Linked DNA regions of Caenorhabditis elegans. The protein of the gene in region 1 purifies or fractionates together with the protein of each later gene. This does not show direct contact. Each region holds a gene or a part of one and is shown in the gene's direction. Other genes may lie near its edges. The genes, in order: trd-1, F41G3.6, R05H5.3 and suox-1.

Region 1 (7,873 bases):
TTTTTGTTACAGTTATTGTTGTTCCACTTTTGTTGTTGTTTTTCCGTTTTCTCGTTTTTATATTTTAAATTTTCAAAATAGTACTGTTGTTTTTCTTTTAAAATAATTATTCCAGTGTTTTATTCACTGAAATCATATTTAAATTAAATATCTTGTTCCAATTTCTTATCCATTTTTCTTTTTTTGATTAAAAATATTTTTACAGTTCACAATGAACCTTAACAGCCCAGCTGTATCAATGCTTGGCGGTGACACCCCTGCACATGGTGGACCGAATTCCGTACTTGGAGGTCAAGGACCCTCATCAATTCTCACGGGACACGGTCCCAACTCTGTAATGGGACCAAACTCGATTCTTGGACCTGGAAGTGTTCTCAATCCACAATCAATTCAACCAATGCAATCACAACAAATGCACAGTAAGTTATTTGTGGAAAACTCATTTCAGGGTTTTTGCTTGAAAAGGATAAAACTAGCCCAAAATTAACTAATTTTTTTTAAAGAGACTGCTCATAAAATTTTCACTATTTTTTATGGCATGACAAAAAGTAAATTAACAAGAAATCAGAATTTTGCTGAATCCCGAGACTTCTATCACAGCAGCTGAATTACAGATTTTTTGAATTATCACCCTTTATAGAATATTTTGTTAGTTTTTCGTTAATTTCGGCAAATTTTTATGTCGTTAGGCGTCTAAAAATGAACATAATTGGCATGTCGATCATAAATGGGACTGAATCGACGATGTGAAGCGAGATAAACAACTAAATTATAAAATTATAAATTGTTCAATAAAATACACTAATTAAAAAAAACTGTATCCTAACTGATGCGACAAGGAAAAGTTAGCGAAATTTCAGATTTAAGCGAAATTAATACGTTTTTTTTTCGAAATTTTAATATTGTACAGTTTAAAAAATTTATGAAAAAATCTGATGAACTCTCTGTGCACGTTTATTTTAGCCGTGACCAGTCTTTCAACTTTATAACCTTTTTTCAGTCTTAAAGCCGTTTGTCAAAATTAAAGATTTATATTATTTCAGGCCTTCAAGGTTCTTCAATGCAAATGCATTCACATCTCGCCAACTCCAATCTCAACTTGAACATAAATCCAGCTTCAGTCGGACCTGATCGTAATCCTGGATCAGTTATGCATCACAATTTGGACATCAATCCTCCATCAGTTGCATATCAGAATTTGACAGTTCCAATGACACCACTTGCATATTCTGTATATGATCGAGATGCTCTGACACATCAGGCTCCGGCAAGTAACATCGCTGCCACAATGGTTCCAGCAACTCCAGCAAGTCAATTGGATATTCCGATGCCAGCTCTTCAGAACATTGTCTCTACAGTCAATTTGGGAGTTCAATTGGATTTGAAGAAGATTGCATTGCACGCGAGAAACGCCGAATACAATCCAAAACGTTTCGCAGCAGTCATTATGAGAATTCGTGAACCAAGAACAACTGCTTTAATTTTTTCGAGTGGAAAAATGGTGTGCACTGGTGCGAAGTCAGAAGAAGCAAGTCGATTGGCAGCACGAAAATATGCGAGAATTGTTCAAAAGTTGGGATTTCAGGCGAAATTTACCGAATTTATGGTAAGTGTTTCTGGAAAAAGGTCACAAAATCATTTGAATAATTTTTTTGTAGGTTCAAAACATGGTTGGTTCTTGTGATGTTCGTTTTCCGATTCAACTTGAAGGATTGTGCATTACTCACTCTCAGTTCAGTACTTACGAACCAGAATTGTTCCCTGGATTAATTTATCGTATGGTCAAACCAAGAGTTGTGCTCCTTATTTTTGTGTCTGGAAAAGTGAGTTTAAGTTATGAAATAACCTTTTCTATGTTAAATTTTCAGGTTGTTATCACTGGAGCAAAAACAAAGAGGGACATTGACGAAGCATTCGGGCAGATTTATCCAATCTTGAAGGGATTCAAAAAATAACTTTCTTTTATTAAAATTGTTTTCATTCTTCTTTATTTTCAAATTTTTGTTTCATTTTAAGCCTTCCCTTATCCCTAAACCCGGATCTCGTATAATACAGGTAAAGTAGCTTCATTTTAGACATCTATGCACTTTAGAACCACTTTCTTCAGTCTACCAATCCGATAAAATCGTTTCGAATTCAATAAGCTTTCGATTAATTACTGCTCACCATTTCTCCCCGTACCTTGTATAATTTTGTTGATGTTATTTTTTTTTGAAGAAGTGACATTATCAATGTTCTTTTCAACTTTCCTCTTGTTTTTCAAATTTCTCCCGTATTATTGAGAATAAAGTATTAAAATAGTTGTTGTTCAATCTACGAAATTGAATTTCTGATAATTTCTGTAATATATTTATTCATATTTCAAATTTATAACATTTCAGATTGAAATTTATCGTTTTAGATGATTCCAGCTGATATTATTGCATCAATTGCTGGATTAGTAAATGAAAAAGATATTGAAAAGGTATTTCATTGGTTTCTACATTTTCAGATATAAAAGAATATTTCTTAACCCGACAAAACTCGGATTTCGATCTCACTGTCAATTCTGTTTTTAAAAAAGTAATTAAGTTTCGAATTTAGTAGAATTTCTCCAAAATTTTTTTGCCAAAAGACTAGGAAAATTTAAAAAAAACAAACAAACTGAAATTTTAAAGGTTTAGTGAAAAAACTCCGAAAGAGAAATTGAAATTAGTGAAAACACAAGAAAACCAGAAAGAAAGTCGATTTTAATTTATTTTGAATCCGTAACAACTCAAAAACTTGAGCAAAAGTTTCGAGACCCGAAGAACTCGAGGGATGTCCAACTGGGGGGATTACCAACTCGGGGGATTGGCCCCGCCCACAGAACCGTGGCTTGCAATACGCCCATTTTTGCAACTGCCGCACGGTTTTAAAATTATTTTTCTTGTTAATTCTCGCTCTATTGAGAAAAATACAGTTTTAAAACCGTGCGGCAGTTGCAGAAATGGGCGTATTGCAAGCCACGGTTCTGTGGGCGGGGCCAATCCCCCGAGTTGCTAATCCCCCCAATTGGACATCCCCCGAGTTCTTCGGGTCTCAAAGTTTCAAATTAAAAAAAACAACACTAGAACCATAAACATCACATGTTGCTAAAGAATATCCGCGAAAAATGTAGAATAGTTTTTTTTGGATTTTTTTCCAAAAACTAATTTTTCGTCAAAATACAAAAAAAAAACACATGGTTATAAGATCGCTCACTTTTGCGCAAACAGTTTTTTGAAAATATAAAGATTCATAGTATCCGAATGAATTCAATTTTTTCAGATCACTTCTGAGTATCAGGACAACATTTGGGAATTCGTGGAATCACTTGTGACTCATGTTCTTGCCAGTAATCATGTTGGATATTCTGGTAAGAATGAATATTTTAACACCCTAAAAATATTAAAACGAGATAGAAGTTTGGAAAAAAAATTCAATTACAAAACTTATTTTTTTTAATTCAAAAATCGTACAGTAGAAATAATAGTATAAGGTTCGATGTGCTCTGTGAGCCAGAAGCTGCAAAAAAGAAGTGCAACAGGCTGGCTTCTCTGTGCTCTCCAGGCGCCGGTCGGTGTATGGGCTCGGCGCTCGGCGCCCGGAGCCTCTGTCTCTGTTGTGTTACTTCGTGTGTGCATGTGCTCTGGAGAATAAGGAAAACGAAGAGAAAAAAGCAAAGACGAAACGAAAAAAAAACGGGGGAAAAAGCAAGCACATGCATGCGAAAAGTGTGTTGAAACTGGAGAACTTCTCGTGCTATGTGGAGCCAACGACAGCGAAACGAGTCGGCGGCGATGGTTGGGTGGATGAGGGCTTCGTCTAGTGGGAATCGACGGTTTGGTTCGATTCTCTACCCCTTCCACGACGCATTGATTTTAGGTTAGGCGGTTTTGCAATAATGAGATAGGATTCCTCTAGGGATGAGGATCAAAATAAATCTATTTTTGAATTTTTCACAAAAAATCAACTAAAAGTCGTAACTGTAGCAAATCGTCAAAAATTGTAGGCATCCTGAAGAAACCTGGCACCAAAAAATCAGAAGGACTGAAAAAAACCACTCATTATTTTTGAATTTGGATTTTCTCAAGTTTCAAAAGAACAGAAAATTTTCAAGCTATTTTCAGATTATAACACATCCTCGTTCATATCAGAAGAACTCGCTCGCCAAAAATTATCATGTGGTCTGAATATACCAAATGCTGTGTCAAAGTCCTTATGGGCACTACACTTGGCACATGAACACGTGGAAAAATTGAAAGATCTTTCTGATATACCTCCAATTGGATATCGTGTTATACTTGAGTTCTACCTAGTTTGGCAACAGCTTCTCATTGATCCAGAGGAAACTATTCGCACTGAAATTGAACCAATTGTAAGTTAAAAAATATATAAATGTGGATAAAAAGGTTATACTTTTTTTTTTTTTTTTTTTTTTTTTGAAAAAAATTTAAAATTTATTCAAAAAAAAATCAGACTTCTTTCTTGGCTTTTTTCTACGGTTTCGACGAGGATGTTTCAGTTGATCCTCCACATTCTTCTTTGATTGTTTGCATTCCTTCGATACCGTTCAGTTTCTTCTTTCTTCATGTCTTCTTTGCCTGCAGGTTTACAAACCGCACTTTTTGAATGAAGAACTGTCAGAATCACGAACACGATTGTAGTGATGATTCCGATACCTCCGAAGACAGCCGAAACTATCATTAGCATGCTAGATGGCAAAATAAAGTGCTTTTCACTCATCTTTTTGATGAATGAGCGTTTTTAAAAACTCGAAAATACTTGAAATTTATGAGAAAATTTTTATTCAGTTTAGAAACTAATATTTTTCAGATGGAGAAGCTTAGAGTTTTGATTGCCGAAGAAAATGATGCATTCACTTCAGAAGATCGATGTCAGATACAACTCGAGATGGCAGCTGTACGGTTTCAATTTTATGAATACGACAAAGCAGATAACCTGATTAAAAGTGCAAGTGAAGAATGTCAACTAAACATGGATTTGAGTGGAATGATGGGAAAACGAACACGGTTCCAACAGAGAGATATTGCACAACTAGTTTTGATTCATAAGGATCCATCAACTACTGGAACACCTCTTCCTCCAGATTCTGATATTCCGCAGAGTTTGGATATGAATGATGATACTCTTCTTGAACAAGTTGCTATTACTGAACAAGGAGCAAGAGTTGATGGAAGAACACTGAATGCATGCCAACTTTCGTGTCTGTTATGGATTGCTCGACATGAATCAGCAACTCATCGTCATGATGTATTAGTTCACGAACGATGTTCACCAGTGTTGGATACTGTAATTGCAGCAAGAAGATATTGGAGTATTCAGGCAGCTGCTCTTTTGGCTCGTGCAGAACTTGAAAGAGGTCGAGTGAGACAAGTGGATCGTTCATGTACACAATCTGAATTGGTGGTAAAGTTACAACAAGGAGTTGATGATCCAGTTCTTATTAAAGGTGATTACTGAACTTTTATATTCAATGGAGAAGTTAAAAAAAGGGTAGAGCTCGAAAAATAATTTTTTTTTGAAAACAAAAAAAAAGTGTTTTACAATAATGAGAAGTTTTGCAAGTTTTATATTTTTATAGAGTTAAAAAAATTTCGATCATATATTTCCACGATAGTTACAATCAAGAAATCATCGAAAAAATATTTCAAAATTTTAGATCGTCTTCTCCGCACGTCATATATCCTCGCATCTGGTCTCACTCCATTTTGGCAATCTTCTGTTCTTCTGGCTGGTATTCTCAATTCTCTTGGATGTACTTCTGAAGCTTTGCTCATTCTGGAAAAGCTTGAAATGTGGGACGGGGTTATTGACTGCTACAAGCAACTCGGACAAATGGACAAGGCTGAAACTCTTATCCGCCGTTTAATTGAGCAGAAACCAAATGACTCTATGCTTCATGTATACTTGGGAGATATCACAAGAAATTTGGAGTATTTCACAAAAGCTATCGAATTATCTGATGATCGGAATGCAAGGGCTCATCGATCACTTGGACATCTCCTTCTAATGGATAAAAAGTTTGAGGAGGCCTATAAACATTTAAGAAGAAGTCTGGAATTACAGGTTACTGATAAAACTAATTATATTTTTATACAACTTTTTTTTCAGCCAATTCAATTAGGAACCTGGTTCAATGCTGGCTACTGTGCATGGAAACTTGAAAATTTTAAAGAATCCACTCAATGTTACCATAGATGTGTATCCCTTCAACCTGATCATTTCGAAGCTTGGAATAATCTATCAGCTGCCTACATTCGACATGGACAGAAGCCAAAAGCATGGAAACTTCTACAAGAAGCTCTTAAATACAACTACGAACATCCGAATGTATGGGAGAACTATATGCTTTTATCAGTAGATGTTGGAGAATTTTCTCAAGCAATTCAAGCCTATCATCGTCTTTTGGATATGAATAAACGAGGAGCTGACGATGAAGTTTTGGAATTAATTGCTCAAACACTTTTAAGAAGAGAAGCTGAAATTTCAATGGATGAGAGCGAGGATAAAGCTCAAAATGAAGCAGAAAATCGGAAGGAAAAAGAAGAAATGATCAAGTTGTTGGCCAGAATCTCAGCGAATCATCAAACTTTATCCCCAAAAGTAATTTTTTATCGAAAATTTAAAACTTTCTAAAAAAAAAAAAATTAAATTAAATTTCAGACTCTCCGTGTCTACGCTCTTCTCAAGAAGCCATCTGTTTTATCATCGGAAACTCGAACCGAATTTGAAAAGTATGTGCGATTACTGGAGAAGAGTCTAGCTGCAGCAAATGGAAAACTGACGTGGCCAAAAGAAGAGAAATTGGCGTTGGAAGTTGTTGAAACTGCTGTACGATTAGCCGAAGATCGTCTAGAGTTGGCAAAGTTCATCGCATCGGATACGTCTGTGAAAGAAGTAAAATAGATCATGTTTCCGTTATGTATCTAAATTCATTTTTACAGGCATCCGCTAAAGTTCGTTTATCTCTTCGTGGCATTCTTACTCGTCTTGATAAGGATTCAGGAAGCCGCGTGTCTGGTGATGAGACGGAGAAACTTCAGGAGATCGTAGAAGTTGCCAAAAGTCTTCTGGATAGTGTGGCAATTTGAATCTCCAAAAATTCAAAATTTAATAAAAATATTCCCTGTTAATCTTTGATTTTCTCCCAGTGAACGATGTTGTTTATTTTGTTTTTGTTCTAATCTTAATTCAGTTGTTATTGTTTTGTTTTTCTTGTTCTGTTTCAAGTAATTTAATTCATTTAAATTTTTTTTTAGTAATTCAAATGAAAATTGATAGATACATTGAAAACTACACATACCCTGATTTTTTTCGCGGGGAGACTGAAGAAAATGGCACCGGAGCGGCTTTTTACTTGAAAATTGGTCAGTAGAAATGAGAAAAACGAAGAAAAACAAAGCAAATTACCATTTTGAAAGAGCGATCGAGAGTTTTTCAGAAAAAATTATTTTCTTGAAATTTTTTGAAAAGAAAAACTGACAATTTTTCTTTCCTGATTTTATTAAATTATTACCTGCTTGCGAAAAATTGTGATTTTTAACTTTGAATCACGGCTTTGGGTCTTGGCACGAGCCAAACTTTCCAGCTACCGTACACTGGAATATGGTAGATTTTTATTTTCATTTTCGCAATTTTCTGTTCAAATTGCAGTTTTAAATTTTAGAAAATGGATAAAGCAAAGAGAATGGTGAACTGCAGACAAAGTGTTAAATACTCGCAGAGCGGGCACTGTAGCTAAAAAGTTTCGCTCATCGCAGGGCCCACTGCCATGATTTTTGCGGAGATTTGATCGCAAGTTTTAGCATCCCAGTAATAAAATAATATGAGAAAATTCGATGATTTTTGA
Region 2 (4,247 bases), on another chromosome or scaffold:
TGAATTCGATGAACAACCTGAAAATACCAATGCATCAACTTCGTTCCAACGGAAAATCGTCAAGGAAAACGAGCTGAACGACGGTGGAATTTCACTGATTGTTGTGGCTTCTTTAGTGGATAAACCGAACAACCTTGGTGGAATCTGTAGAACGTCTGAAATTTTTGGAGTTGACACACTTGTCGTTGCCGATGTTCTCGTCGCCCAGGATGCGAACTTCAAAGCATTGAGCATGAGCTCAGAGAATTGGCAGAAAATCGAAGGGGTTAAACGAACAAACTTGCTCCCATATCTTCAAAATCTTCGAGCCAACGGATACACAGTGATCGCAGCTGAACAGACGACTGATAGTGTGATGATGCATGATTTTGTATTCCCAAAGAAGGTATTAAGCTGTATTTTAAGAAAAACGAATAAATAATGTTTTATTTTCAGGCTGTGATTGTTATGGGCGATGAAAAAGAAGGAGTTCCGGTGAATCTACTACGCGCAGTTGATCAAACTGTGGAAATCAAACAAGTTGGGCATACTCGAAGTTTGAATGTGCACGTCACGGCGGCGCTTATGATTGCTAAATTTGCCGAACAAGTCAGATTTGATAAAAATTAAATAAACTTCCCTTGTTAAAGTTGTTGTTTTTGTTGTTAACTTTCTTTTTTGCTCGTTCTTGAACAATAAAATTAATAATAATTAGATGGTGTGTTGAATAAAAATAAAAAGCGTTGAGTTTTCACCATATATTTCTCCAAGAAAAAAGAAACTCTTATTTTTTGCCGTTCTACGATCGGAGATTTTGTGGATTCAATTCTCCGGTGTCTGCGAAAATTGTTGCGAGGTCTCCCAAGCAAACTCGCCCTAGTGCACACCTAACTTTATTTCTTATAAAGAATTTGTTTTTTGCAGCGCGTTGATTTTGCCGGTAAAATAAGAAGAATTGGCTAATCAACAATGTCATCAGAAGTACTTCGAGGCATTGATCCACGTGGATACTTTGCAACTTTTATCAAAGAAGGAGTCTATCCTGACGGACGTGGTCTTCTTGATGAACAAAAACTTGTTTTTAAGGTAATTTTTCTCACGATTCAATTCTATGTAAACTTTTCAATTTTTCAGCAAGGAGAATGTGGCGGTGTTGGTTCATCTGTCGTCAGTACCCAAGGAGTGACTGTTTCGTGTTCAATTCAAGCTTCAGTTTCACTCGTTAGTGATGCACCCCTGGTGGATATCAAAATTGAAGGTTCTCAGCAGCTATCAGAGGTTAGCTACTGAACATTTATTTACTTGTATTCATATAAATTATAGAAAGACGCAGAGGACTGCAACAGTGTCTTGCTTTCGTTATTCACAAATAATTGTTTCGTTCGACGCGAAAATTTGCGATGTTTGGATGTCTGTGGCAAACCTTTGCCTCTGGAATGGCAACTTCATATCATTGTTAAAGTGCTCAGTCTCGAGGGAAACTTTTTGGATGCAGCTGTGGTATTTACAAAAGATTTTGTTTTTTTAAACATAATTTTAAAATTTTTCAGTGCGCTCTCGGTGCCGCTCTTGTAGATGCAAAGCTCCCGTCGATTGTATTAAACCATTCCGAGGGCGACGAATCGACAATTGAAAAAACACAAATTCAAGCAGATTACCGAACAATGCATCGATTGACGCTCGAAGAACCTTTGATGTGCTGTTCATTCGGTATTTTCGTTGACGTTAATTCAGACAAAAAGTCTGAAGTTCTCCTCTTGTCTCCAACATTAGAAGCAATATCAGTGTGTCGAGCAACTTGTTCTGTAATTGTTGGAAAAGATGATCACATGGTTATGGTTCGTGAACGAGGACAGTTTTCTTCTTTCTCCCTTTTAAAGGTATTTTATTGTTATGTAGTTTTACGATCACTAACTTAATTCATATTCAGAAAATGTGTCAAATTACCGCCGAACGCCGACACAAATTCGTGGAGTCTCTTCAAAACGTTGTTTGATTATTTAATTTTGTTGCTCGTTTAAATATGTTTTCTGTTATAAATTGTTGTTTCTCGATCGATTTTCATATTGTTTGGATCCACCAATTCGTTCGATCGAATCGTATCTCATTTTTTGGCATTTTTTTCAAATTTTAATTCTCCATTTCAGATCGAAATGCGATACTTTGGAACTTTCAATAGAAACAGTGCGTTTGATATGAAGTTTTTAGATTCAAAGTTTTTTTATTGCAGAGGGACTCTTCACAGAGAGCAGGGACATCATGGTTTATCAACAAGCTCGAGACGAAGAACACAAGAAGAGAAAAGAAGCAAATCTCGAACTTGATTCCGATAGTCACGTCGGAATGTGGCTTCTCTGTCACCCGGATAATGATCTTGCAATTGGTAATATTATTTCATTGAAATTAAGTTAAAAAATACATTCTCAGCTATGTACACAACGATGGTTCGACTTGCCGGAGAGCTGTCTCTAGAAGTGACACATGATGATATTATTGCCTGGCTCGGAACAGCAATTCGGTGCCATCCATCACAACTGGTCCCACGAGGAGAGGCGGTTTCCATTCGCGACAAGTAAGAATAATTTAAGTATAAACTTCGCAGTTTCTAAGTTACAGACCCACTCTCCCAACTGATCCTCGAGGTGGCGACTGGAACACAGGTGTCGGAATCACACAGACCTGTCTTTTGCTACGATATCTCTCACAATGCTCCCTGGACCAACTTTCAATCGATGAGAGAGCCAATGTCCTGTTTGGTAATATTGTTTTATCACTTGTAGATTTCCAAAATCAAAACTAATTTCAGCTATTCTTCGCGTCTTCAGTGATTCTGACGAAGTCGCCGCATCTCCAGATGCCCAGAAATTTGTTCGTCGTATCTATTCGTCGGGATCACGTTATGATTTAATCGATGCTCTCGCTGCAATTTTCTTCCAACTTTCAAGTAAGATATAATGTTAAGAATTCATCATTAAAGTTTTTGTATTTTCGCTCCAGACGACATTGCAACAATGGCGGACGCTGTTCGCACGCTGTGGAGCATCACAGAGGATGAGCCACTTGTAATGAGACTGACAGTTGAAATTCTGATGTGTTTATGCCAGAGATCTGAAGTTGTCGCTAATCTTCCAGAGTTTAAGGTATATTATAACTTAAATTCTTGATCAACAATAATATTTTTTGTAGCTGGGCGATCAAATGTACTGCAAGCAAGTGAAAATGATCATTCTCGATTTGACGTCTGACGCGCACGAACAAGTTCCAGAATTGCACCAGAAAGATGAGCTCAGCAATTTGGTCAATGAGGTGTTCAATCTTAAAAGATAGGGCACTAATTTCATATTATTTATGTACTTATTTCTCCCATCCGGCTTTCAATCATTTCGTGTGCTATATTTTGAACGGTATCCTTTTCATCCATTCACTCATAATCCCATGACTATTTTGCCAGTTATCATTGCGCATTTTACTGCTATTGCCAATTTGAAATAAATTTCTGTGAAAAGTTCTGAATTCTGAGTGGGCTAGCCAATGTTAATGAAAGAATGGGAAAATGTTATGAAACAATGTTTTTATTCAACATGGCAAAGTAGAAAAGAAACTATTTGTGTCCTGTTCAAATTTCTGAAAATTAAACCTGAATAATTCTGTTTCTCCTTCCTTGTTAACTTACGAAAATCACACCAAGAAAAGATCTGTTTGTCCGTACAACCAGTGGAACAACAATCCAGAGCTCTTAGTATTTCTGTTTGAATAGCTCCACCATTACACAGAAATGCAACTCGTCGGCTCAACGATTCCCCACATGACTGAAATTATTCATTTACAAAAATGCAACTTATTCAGAATGACTCACACGATAGGAATGATGTTTATTGTCACGAGGTTGGAAGTCATTTCCAGAATATGATTCTGATATGACTGCCAAAAGAGCAAAAACCACAATGAGAGGAAGAAGCTTCATTATCTGAAAATTAATTTACATTTGTTTTTGGGCAAGAAAAGAAATGTAAATGAACAAAATAGCTCTCGGGATATTCTTTTTATACCATCGATACAATCTGTAATTTAAGGTGGGTGATAGTTGTTTTCGATGAACAGTTATTTTAAAATACAAAAAACAAGAAAAATTATACGTTCCATTCACTGAAAATACAATGACGCTTACAAGAATCGGATATCTTCCAGACAGTTCAAGGATTTTTCTGAAAACAAGAGACTACTATAAATTGTGGAGGAGCATAAATGTGGATGTTTCTTCGATGCAC
Region 3 (3,886 bases), on another chromosome or scaffold:
GTTTTTTTGATAATTAGCACAAGTCTCTGTAAGAACAATAGGACAGCGTAAGTGGGAAATTCGGCTTAAAATATCAAAAATGTCACAAATTGTCACAAAGAATGTCACAAATGTCACAAAGAGATGCTTTAAAAAAAATACAGTTCTCGTGTTTTTTTTTCCATTTTTCTTTTAGGGGGGTATTCTTGAATTTCAGAATTAAAACAATTATTCATTAATGCTTCTACAGAAAATATAATCTATACCTCGTATTTTCATAGTATAGGTTTGCTGTAAGGGCGCGGTGGATTACTGTAGGGTTACTGTGAATATATTTTAAAGGAGTCAATTTGAAATGAATTCTGTAGGAGAGAAGTTCGCGTATAACTCAGATTTCACACATTTTTGACGCCGAAAATTTGAACTACAATAGAGTGTATAAATAATTGTTCTTGTGGTTAAATAGTTGCTAGTAACTTAGATAGAAATCGTATAATTACAGATTTACAGAATAATTCTTTCAGGCCCACCACGTCGTCATCCCTTTCTTGGCAGTCTCCAAGTGTGATTTGTTAGTGAATCCCGTGAAAAACCGTATCTTTCAAAATATCGGCGTTTTCGGTATTTCTTGCCCAATGCTCACAATTCTTGGAATAACTGCTGAACGCCTTCTGGCTCTGATCTTTGCTCGTTGCTACGAAAATGTTAAGCTTCATATTGGAGTGTTTATCGGTGTTTTTGCAGTGAGTAGCGTTATTATTTTTTATTATTAAAATTAAAATAAATAGTTCAGATGCTTTGCGACATGGCACTTGTCTATTTCTTCTTCCTCGATGAGAAATTCGATCAACCGTCCATCTCATACTTTATGGTTCCTGATACTTCCGGTTATAAAGTGAGTTTTCCCAGGGAATTTGGAAATTTCACCTAGGCGGCATTAAAACATAAAACCATAAATTTCAGATGAATTGGTTATGCTATTCCTTACTTGCTATTAATAGTGTAAATTTAGTTTTCAATTATTTTTTGGTAAAGATCAACACTATTTTGAAAGAAAAGTAAGATCAGATTTAAATTATTTTAAATGCAAACACTGAAAATTTCAGATGGCGTAATTCTTTATCAACTCGTTATCAAATGGAAGAGAACATTATAACCACGAAATTCTCCACTTTTATCTCATTTATTCATGTATTCTTCTTCTCGCTCTATCTCATTTTCACCCTAATTATTCGTCTTCTAGGACCAGGATTTTTGAAAACACAAGCCGATTTGATGTCGGTCAGAGGTGTTTACATCGTGAGAATATGGTGTTCGACAAATCATGACTAAATTACATTTTTTTCAGACTATTCCCACGTATAATTTGATTATTGGTATTGCTTCATGCGTCATTCTACGGCATTTGCAAAGACAAAAAGTTGCAAAAGTTTATGCGGAAGTTACATTGAAGTATTCTGGAATTGACGGGGCTCAGATTCATCAAGAGGCTATTTTAAATGTTTGGAAGACTAAGTCATCAGGACGGAAGTGACTGATTTATAATTGAAAAAATATATTACACGACAATAATATTTATGTTTAAATCGATGTTGTGCACAAAGGTGTGCGCCTTTAAGAAGTACAGTAACCCATCCCAGTTTTTTCGCAACTTTCGTCAACTTTTATACTTTTTTATCTGAAAAATTGTTTTATTATAGAAACGAAATTGCAGTACATGAAAAAAAGTTTTTTTAACTACGAAAAACGTTTAAAAAACAGTATTATGGGTTACTGTACTTCTATGGCACAATCAATAAATATTGCGTTGATTCTTTTTCTAAACTTTGTTCGAGCGAGAACAATTATTGTGCTTTTTTCATTGAAAAAAATTTACTCTTTATTAAAAAAAAATAATATTTCGAATGTAATCTTGCTTTATTTGAGAGTCAATAGTTCCGTAAGATCAACAAATTCATGAGTTCTCTTTGCAAGCGCGCTCTGTGGAGCGGCGCCAGAAATTGAATTCGCCGCGAAAAAGAAGCGCTAGAACGGAAATTCGAAAATTTTCTTCTCATTTCCTCTCATTTTATCGAGTTTCTTCGCTTTTTTTTTCATTTTTTGCTGCGTTGGCTAACTCCAAGAGCTTTCTCCACAGATACCCCGGTTTTTAAAGTCTTATATTTAGCAAATTGTGAGCTTTTGAAGTTGTTTGATGCGAAAACTCTTCGAATTTTATTGCAGAATTTATAGCTTATAGTTAACCTTCATTTTGTTCGCATTTCTTCCGCCGGTGCCATTTTACCATTTCAATTTATGAATACTTCTAGCTTTTATTTTTCAGAAATGTCCGAATTGCTCGCTGGAACCAAGTTGATCAACCAAGACAGCGAAGAGCTCGATGCTGGCGAGCACCTCAAGGGAAAGGTAAAACATTTCTTTTTTTTTTGAAGAAAAAATGGCAAAATTAATATTTCCAGGTCGTCGGACTCTACTTCTCGGCCAGTTGGTGTCCACCATGCCGTCAATTCACTCCAAAGCTCACTCGATTCTTCGACGAGATTCGCAAGAAGCATCCAGAATTCGAGGTTGTTTTCGTGTCTCGCGATCGTGAAGACGGTGATCTCCGTGAATACTTCCTTGAGCACATGGGCGCCTGGACTGCAATTCCATTTGGAACTCCAAGAATTCAGTTAGTTTCAGCTAAAATCGAATTTTAAATGTATACAAATAATTATTTTCAGAGAGCTTCTTGAACAATACGAAGTGAAGACGATCCCATCAATGCGCATTGTCAAGCCAAACGGAGATGTCGTTGTTCAGGACGCTCGCACCGAGATTCAGGACAAAGGAAATGATCCAGAAGCTCTCTGGGAAGAGTGGCTCGCTTTCTACGATTAAATTTTCTCCACCAACGTAACACCAAAAAATTTCAAGTTTCCTTTCACTCTAATTTATCAATTGTCACAATTTCTCACCATAATTTCAAATATTGCGGCTAATTTCGTACATTTCCCATAAAAACTTTCGCAGCCAAAGATTTATTTACATTTACAGTCTAGATTTATTCGGATCCACAGACTTCGTGGTTGGCTCTGACGACACGGACAATTTCGATTTTTCCACACTTGTAGGTGGTGCCGAAGTAGTGATGGAGTTTTCCGTTTTCTTCTTGAACTCTTCCAGCTTTTCCTTCAACTCTTCAGCGGTTGGTCGTTTTTCAGCATCTACTTGCCAGCACTCGCTCATGATTTCCACCATTCTACTCGGCATTGATGGTGGTGGAGGGAGGCGATATCCGGCTCGGGTTTTGCGCTGAAAAATTCAATACACATCTAGATCCTTTTTGGCAGTATTTACCTTGACTTGAGCAGCTTTCATCTCAACATATGGCGACTTGAATGGGGTCTCGAAAAACTCCCACATCATGATTCCAAACGCGTAGACGTCAGTGTTGAAACGCGTTTCCCCGTTGTCCCAAACCTCGGGAGCCAGCCATCGGATGTTGCATGGCTTTTTAAGATCAACTTTGTAGACGGATTGGGCTCGGCACATTCCAAAGTCAGCCATCTTGACGACTCCCTTGTGAATGAGGCAGTTTCGCGACGCGATATCACGATGGATACAGTTCTTTTTGTGCAGGTAATCCATGCCACAAGCAGCCATGTAGGTGTACTTGACGCGTGTCGGAACTTTTATTTTCTGGAAAAATTAATTTTCTTTCAGCTAAATTGGAAACACCCTCACCTCTCCCTTATCTCTCAGCCGATCCTCAACAGCTCCACCATTACAGTACTCCAGCACGAGAAGATACGGAAGATCGTCCAAGATGAAGCCGTGAAATTTGACGATGTTCGGATGGTCATAGAGCTGCATCACTCGGGCTTCTTTCATCATTTCAGCTAAACCATCCTCGTCGGCTCCCTCT
Region 4 (5,831 bases), on another chromosome or scaffold:
CCGCACTCCCCATCAACGGGCCGGTATTATTCAGTGGATCTTGGGGACGCGAATGGTGGCTTGGCGGCCGACGAATAGTGCATGATGATGGAATTCCTGAGGAAGGAAGTGTTGCAATTGGGCAGCTCTGTGAACAACTGGATGAGATACTTCATGAAGGGGAATTTGTGCAATTCGCGTTGGTTGGAAGTGGTGTACAGAGGAAAGTCGATCGTCTTACCCTAGGAGTTCAAACGGTTTTCAAGCAAGTTCCAGAAGACCTCTCAGCTAGATACATTGATGCAGTTCGTGAACGAATCCATCGAGTTGATCCCAACAGTCAATATTTAGTATTAGAAAATTGTTCACCGTTAGAAATTGAAGTATGCGTTCATTCGTCAGGTAATGCTCAATTTTGAAATTTATGATGATGATTTTCGAATTACAGGAGCTGTTTGGAACAAGGGAGATGGAGTTGCTGCTTTAGTGGAATCACTCCACGACTCGTTGAAGGTTGGAAAAGTTTGTGTCGCAGGGGACACCGCGAGTGATGTTCCGATGTTGAAAAAAGCAGCAGACGAGAATCCAGAGGTAAGATTTTGAATTGAGATAGTATGTCAATTGAACCACTATTAGCATACTTTTGAATATTTTTCGCTATCAATAAAACAACAGTGGACAACATCATACATATTAAGAAATCATAAGATCGCGAGAATGCCTACCGTTTTGGCGCGGGAATATCTCGTTGCGAAGGCACCTAAACCACTGGTCATCGCATGTTCTCTGTGCTATCGCTATTTTTGCGAAGTAGGCATTTTCATGAACTGATAGCTTCTTAATAGCTTGCACGTGGTGTCATAATGTCCCAATTCGGTTTGATCTACTTAGATCTACGAAAAACGCGGGTTTTAAGACGCAGAGTTCTCAACTCTGATTTTACATTGTTTAGAACATGATGACGTCACATTTTTTGGCAAAAAAAAATCCCGCACTTTTTAGTAGATAAAATTGTGATGGGAGAGCCTGACTCCACGTGAGCCGCGTGAGCTGGAATAACCTCGTAGACACGCTAGTAAACATTTCTCTTATTAAATTAAACTTGTATTTGAAATAATGCTAAAATGCTAAACACATCAGATAAATTTCTTGAAAACTTATTTTTTCCAGAACGTTCGAGCCTTGTTTGTCAATATCAACAAGCAGCTTCAAGAGAACATCACAAATATTGTTGGAGACGCCAAACGAGTCTGCTTCATCTCTTCACCAGATGTTGCTCACGCTGCGTTCGCCCAAATTATTTCAGAGTTCTCTGGATGAAAAATGAAATTGGATTGTTTCCCAACCATTAACTATTAAATATTAGAGTGGTAGAGAGGTAGAGAACAACGACAACTTGTTGTTTCTCAAATGTTCAACCACCCATCGTAACTTGCAATCAATGACCGCTGGTCAATGGTCAGCAAAGGCGACGAAACCTGTCTCTCTCTCTCGTTTTCTCTACGACCTCTGCTCTCTCTCACTGTTCCTCTTCTCAGTTTCTGCCACGTGACGTTTTTTTTTTCTGATATTCCATTTTTCGTTCTTCCCTCAAACTTCAATTGATTAGAACTGTAAAAATACCAAATAATTCAGTTATTGTTTTATAGAAATCGGTTTTATTAGCATGTTTTTATTGTACCCTCATTCACCAAAAATTCCTCATATTCGAATAATTGTTTAATAAAACTAGTCGGGTTTTGCTTTCTTTTTCCCCCCTGATTCAGTCCACTTTTCAATGTGTTTGTGAACTTCGTAGTTTTTTTTGTTTCAATTTTTTTTCAAAATTCAATTTCTAAAAAAGATATTTTATTTTTCAAAGTATTGTTTGTTTTTCGGCAATCTTGATATTTTAAACTAATAAGTTTCAAAGATTTTGCAAATTTTTTCAGAATGCTTGGCCGGGGCACATCTTTCAATCGGTTTTTTAGACACCGGCGTCAGTTCAACAAACTTTCGGGCGCCACTTCAGAACATCAGAGGACTAATGAAAATCACTCTTATTGTAGGGATCTACCACGAAAACTTGAAAATCTATTAACTAATGTTTAGACAAGTATGCATATATTGGAGGAGCCGCAACTGCTGGAGTGCTCGGATTCAAACACTTTGTGAAAACTGCAAAGCTTGATCACGCCAAAGATGAGACGATGTCAGAGAAGAAATTGGAGAATCTTCAGATATACAAGCAGGAGGAGGTCAAGAAACATGGAAAAGACGCAGACAGGATTTGGGTTACGTACAAAGATGTAAGTTGATTATTTTCAATTAGGACTCTTATGTCGTCCCCGAAAACACCCCTCTCACGCCACAATCCGAAACCTTTATAGCGATGCGCGGAACCCAAAAAGCGTCGGACGTGGAGTCAACTTTGCTACAAATAGTGTCATACTCTATGCCACTGTTTGGTGCAAACTCCGCGTCCGACATTTTGTGGGTTCCGCGCATCGCTTTGAAAATTTGAATTGCGGCGTGAAAGCGGCACCCACATGGGAGCCCTAATTTCAATTATTCAACTGTCCAGTTTTGGCTGACTGGACAAAATGTAGTTTTGTGACTTGGTTACAGGTTTTTAAGGACTTTTTTCGAACGCTTAGAACATTTCAAACTACATATATGCGTATTTCCAAATTGATGCTTGTTTATAAACTGGAATTAATAGTTTTCTTATTTTTACAGGGTGTCTATGATGTCACAGATTTCATTGCCATGCATCCGGGAGGTGACAAAATTCTGCTTGCCGCCGGTGCAGCTGTCGACCCATTTTGGGCTCTCTACTCACAGCACAAGACAAAAGAGGTTCTCGAGATTCTCGAAGGATATCGAATTGGCAAACTTGATGTAAAAGATGTTCCGAAAGTAAGTTCATGGAGTAGAAAAGAGGTGGCATACAATCCTTTATTGTGTGATTTATGAAATTCTGGTAACAAATTTTTTTGTTTAGATTGATTTTGAAGATTTAAGTAATGTGAGTTTGGTTGATTTTAATTAGGGTCCGGGTACAAACGCACCCAAAATATTGATCAATTTATCCTCTTATCTCACCTATGTTTGTGTTTGTTTTACAGCCAGTCGCTGACGCATTCTCCAATGATCCGGAACGTCATCCAGCTTTACTCGTGCGTAACTCGAAGCCCTTCAATGCCGAAACCCCTCCTTCCCTGCTTACCGACCACTTCTACACACCCAATGAACTGTTCTTTGTACGAAATCATCTTCCGGTTCCTGATGTATGTGAAAAGGGGTTGTGTGTGTAGTGAAGTTTTACGCTGGATTTTTTTTTAGATCAAAACTGAAAACCATCGATTGACTGTGGAAACCATCAAAGGAAAAACAGTGGATTTGTCTGTAGAGGAGCTCAAGAAGAAGTACAAGTCATATACAATTGGAAGTGTGATTCAATGTGCTGGAAATAGAAGAGCCGATATGAATCAGTATAAGAAAGTTCAAGGACTGATGTGGGAAGGAACTGCAATCAGTAATGCCGAATGGACTGGAGTTCGCTTGAGAGTAAATTTGAATTTTAAAATATGAGATATTAATTAATAAAATTCAAGGATCTTCTCGCTGACGCAGGAATCGACGTTTTCGACGACAAGATCAAGCACGTCCACTTTGAAGGAGCAGATGTTGATCCGACTGGAACACCCTACGGAGCATCAATTCCCATTGAAAAGGCTCGTGGAGATGAAGTCATTGTCGCTTATCACATGAATGGAGTTGATATTCCGAGGGATCACGGAGCTCCTCTGCGGGTCATTGTGCCAGGTACAACGGTTTTAACATACTTTTATTTAAAAAATTTTTTCTGATAATCGTTAATAAAAGAAGTCATTCAGGTAATGTTGGTGCTCGACAAGTGAAATGGCTCAGAAAAATTATTGTTAGTGAGAAGGAAAGTGATAGTCATTGGCAGCAAAAAGATTATAGGTTAGTAATAAATCTCCAGAACCTACAAACCATCCAATTTCAGAGCATTCTCCCCAGCTGTCAACATTGGTGACGAGCTGAAGTGGAACACAGTTCCATCTATCCAAGAGTATCCTGTTCAATGTGCAATCTGTAGTCCGGCTCCAAATACCAAAGTTGATCGTGGTGACGAAACTGTGGACATCTCTGGATATGCGTGGAGCGGTGGTGGCCGTGGAATCATCCGAATCGAGGTTAGCGTCGATGGTGGCGAGACGTGGAACAGTGTCGAGATGGAGCAAGAAGAGAAGCAGGATCAGGAGCACATGTACGCATGGACATTGTTCAAGGCAGAAGTGAAAATTCCTCCGGGAGTCAAGGAGTTCAATATTATTGCGAAAGCAGTAGACAGAGCCTATAACACGCAACCAGAGACTGCCAGTGGTATTTGGAATGTTCGTGGTTTGATTCATAATGCCTGGCATAGAGTTCCCATTATTGTGAAGGATTAAGATTTTTTTTTAAATTCCGTTCAGATCTCGTAGTTTTCTTTTCCCCTAGATTTTTTCTTGCTTCAATTCAAAATTTGGCCAGTTGAATCTTTAATTTGAACCAGTATTGTCTTGCCCCTACCCCCGTTTGATTTAATTGCAACAAGTTACGAAGTTTTTAGATCAACTGTGATAGTATGAATAAATGTTTTATGACAAAATATTTTTTAAAGGTTTAATTACGAATGATGTAGGAAAGGACAATGGCACGTTGAAAGTTACACAATACTATTACTCAAAATTAATCATGTCATTGATGGCTGGACACTGGAATCTATCCCTGGTTGTGATGAATGATCCGGAGACAAATGTTGGTCTTGCCATGTTTTCCCAGCTCTGGCGGGAATCTTTTGATTCAAATTCGAATGGCTCCCCGTTGGATTTCAAGCAGTTCATGTTCATGTTTCCAACATTCAACACATTGTAAAACTCCTCATCAACTCCATTTCCCCAGTCCTTGACGTTGCTGTACATATCCGAAATTTGCATTCTCTTTCCATCCATACCATGTCTGAAATATGATTGTAAAATTGGATGCATTTTGTTTCGATAATCTCACCGTTCTGAGAAGTAGGCTCTCAACGTACTATTAGAAATTGCTGATTTGCAAACTTCTACATCAGAAGCTGGGTAGTAATAAATATAGTTGACGCACATCTCATCCACAATTCGATATCCACCAAACGTCACTTTTGATCGTTTTCTGGTATCGTAGACGCATGTGGTGACCAGTGTGTCTCCTGGCATAACCTTAACCACTGGTCGAAGCTGTTGCAGATGCTGCCAATGAGGGGAGTAGTGTTCATCTCGGTTCACGTCTCCAATGCGAACTCCAGATCGATATTGAGATGTGAACAGTTTTCTGCCGGTTAGATGAGCGTGCAGTTGACTGGCGAAAATGTTGATTCCCTCCTCGGGAAGCTGGAAATTTCGATTTTACAGTTGAATCTGGTATGGATTTTGAGAGATGTGCGGATTTTTTAAGTTGAAAATTTTTTATTAAAACTTTTCTCCCAAGAAAACGAATTTTGTGTACTCCCTAAACAGAATGTATCTCAATCAGATTTGACACAATAATTCAGGCAGGCAAAATTCAGCACCTCAATATTTTGATGTGAAAGCAAAAATAATGTGACTTTTGAGAATTTTAAAGTATTTTTTTTTTGGTAAAAATAATCGCTATAATTTTTTTCGGAATTCTATACAAAAATACATAAAAGTCGCAATCTAGGTACACAATTTTCAATTTCATAAGTATATCAATTTTCAGATTTTCAGAAAACTACCCACCACTTTTGATTTATTGTGTTTGTTTTTCTTAAGTATACATAGCTATATATTTTCTGTAAATTT

What was found.
Region 2: the proteins of trd-1 (region 1) and F41G3.6 fractionate together in Caenorhabditis elegans (co-fractionation; one large-scale study listed by BioGRID). This does not show direct contact.
Region 3: the proteins of trd-1 (region 1) and R05H5.3 fractionate together in Caenorhabditis elegans (co-fractionation; one large-scale study listed by BioGRID). This does not show direct contact.
Region 4: the proteins of trd-1 (region 1) and suox-1 fractionate together in Caenorhabditis elegans (co-fractionation; one large-scale study listed by BioGRID). This does not show direct contact.

The regions. Positions count from the first base shown.
Region 1 is NC_003281.10:7,383,828-7,391,700, forward strand, and holds trd-1 (Tetratricopeptide repeat-containing protein trd-1), read left to right. Parts: upstream 1-2,401; coding exon 2,402-2,464; intron 2,465-3,288; coding exon 3,289-3,376; intron 3,377-3,793; exon of another isoform or gene 3,794-3,884; intron 3,885-4,130; coding exon 4,131-4,378; intron 4,379-4,836; coding exon 4,837-5,473; intron 5,474-5,683; coding exon 5,684-6,090; intron 6,091-6,135; coding exon 6,136-6,627; intron 6,628-6,687; coding exon 6,688-6,921; intron 6,922-6,968; coding exon 6,969-7,115; 3' UTR 7,116-7,308; downstream 7,309-7,873. Other genes in the region: tbp-1 (TATA-box-binding protein), read left to right, coding at 212-419, 1,044-1,606, 1,659-1,823, 1,869-1,955. UniProt on the Caenorhabditis elegans protein: Developmental protein required for cell fate determination in both the germline and seam cells of the developing epidermis.
Region 2 is NC_003280.10:6,740,788-6,745,034, forward strand, and holds F41G3.6 (DUF2013 domain-containing protein), read left to right. Parts: upstream 1-2,126; 5' UTR 2,127-2,132; coding exon 2,133-2,163; intron 2,164-2,209; coding exon 2,210-2,362; intron 2,363-2,406; coding exon 2,407-2,551; intron 2,552-2,595; coding exon 2,596-2,735; intron 2,736-2,785; coding exon 2,786-2,923; intron 2,924-2,976; coding exon 2,977-3,119; intron 3,120-3,165; coding exon 3,166-3,306; 3' UTR 3,307-3,480; downstream 3,481-4,247. Other genes in the region: T14B4.1 (tRNA/rRNA methyltransferase SpoU type domain-containing protein), read left to right, coding at 1-385, 436-609; exos-8 (Ribosomal RNA-processing protein 43), read left to right, coding at 949-1,065, 1,114-1,257, 1,303-1,479, 1,530-1,859, 1,910-1,975; ins-15 (INSulin related), read right to left, coding at 3,552-3,788, 3,836-3,943.
Region 3 is NC_003280.10:10,195,323-10,199,208, forward strand, and holds R05H5.3 (protein-disulfide reductase), read left to right. Parts: upstream 1-2,302; 5' UTR 2,303-2,304; coding exon 2,305-2,385; intron 2,386-2,438; coding exon 2,439-2,650; intron 2,651-2,702; coding exon 2,703-2,859; 3' UTR 2,860-2,996; downstream 2,997-3,886. Other genes in the region: srb-6 (Serpentine receptor class beta-6), read left to right, coding at 504-722, 773-874, 943-1,037, 1,086-1,278, 1,328-1,513; R05H5.4 (Tyrosine-protein kinase), read right to left, coding at 3,010-3,273, 3,319-3,660, 3,706-3,886.
Region 4 is NC_003284.9:15,495,645-15,501,475, forward strand, and holds suox-1 (sulfite oxidase), read left to right. Parts: upstream 1-1,910; 5' UTR 1,911-1,911; coding exon 1,912-2,023; intron 2,024-2,070; coding exon 2,071-2,267; intron 2,268-2,697; coding exon 2,698-2,877; intron 2,878-2,962; coding exon of another isoform or gene 2,963-3,010; exon of another isoform or gene 3,011-3,086; coding exon 3,087-3,248; intron 3,249-3,303; coding exon 3,304-3,528; intron 3,529-3,575; coding exon 3,576-3,786; intron 3,787-3,857; coding exon 3,858-3,948; intron 3,949-3,991; coding exon 3,992-4,439; 3' UTR 4,440-4,635; downstream 4,636-5,831. Other genes in the region: gob-1 (Trehalose-phosphatase), read left to right, coding at 1-381, 428-570, 1,150-1,299; tbh-1 (Tyramine beta-hydroxylase), read right to left, coding at 4,710-4,989, 5,038-5,399.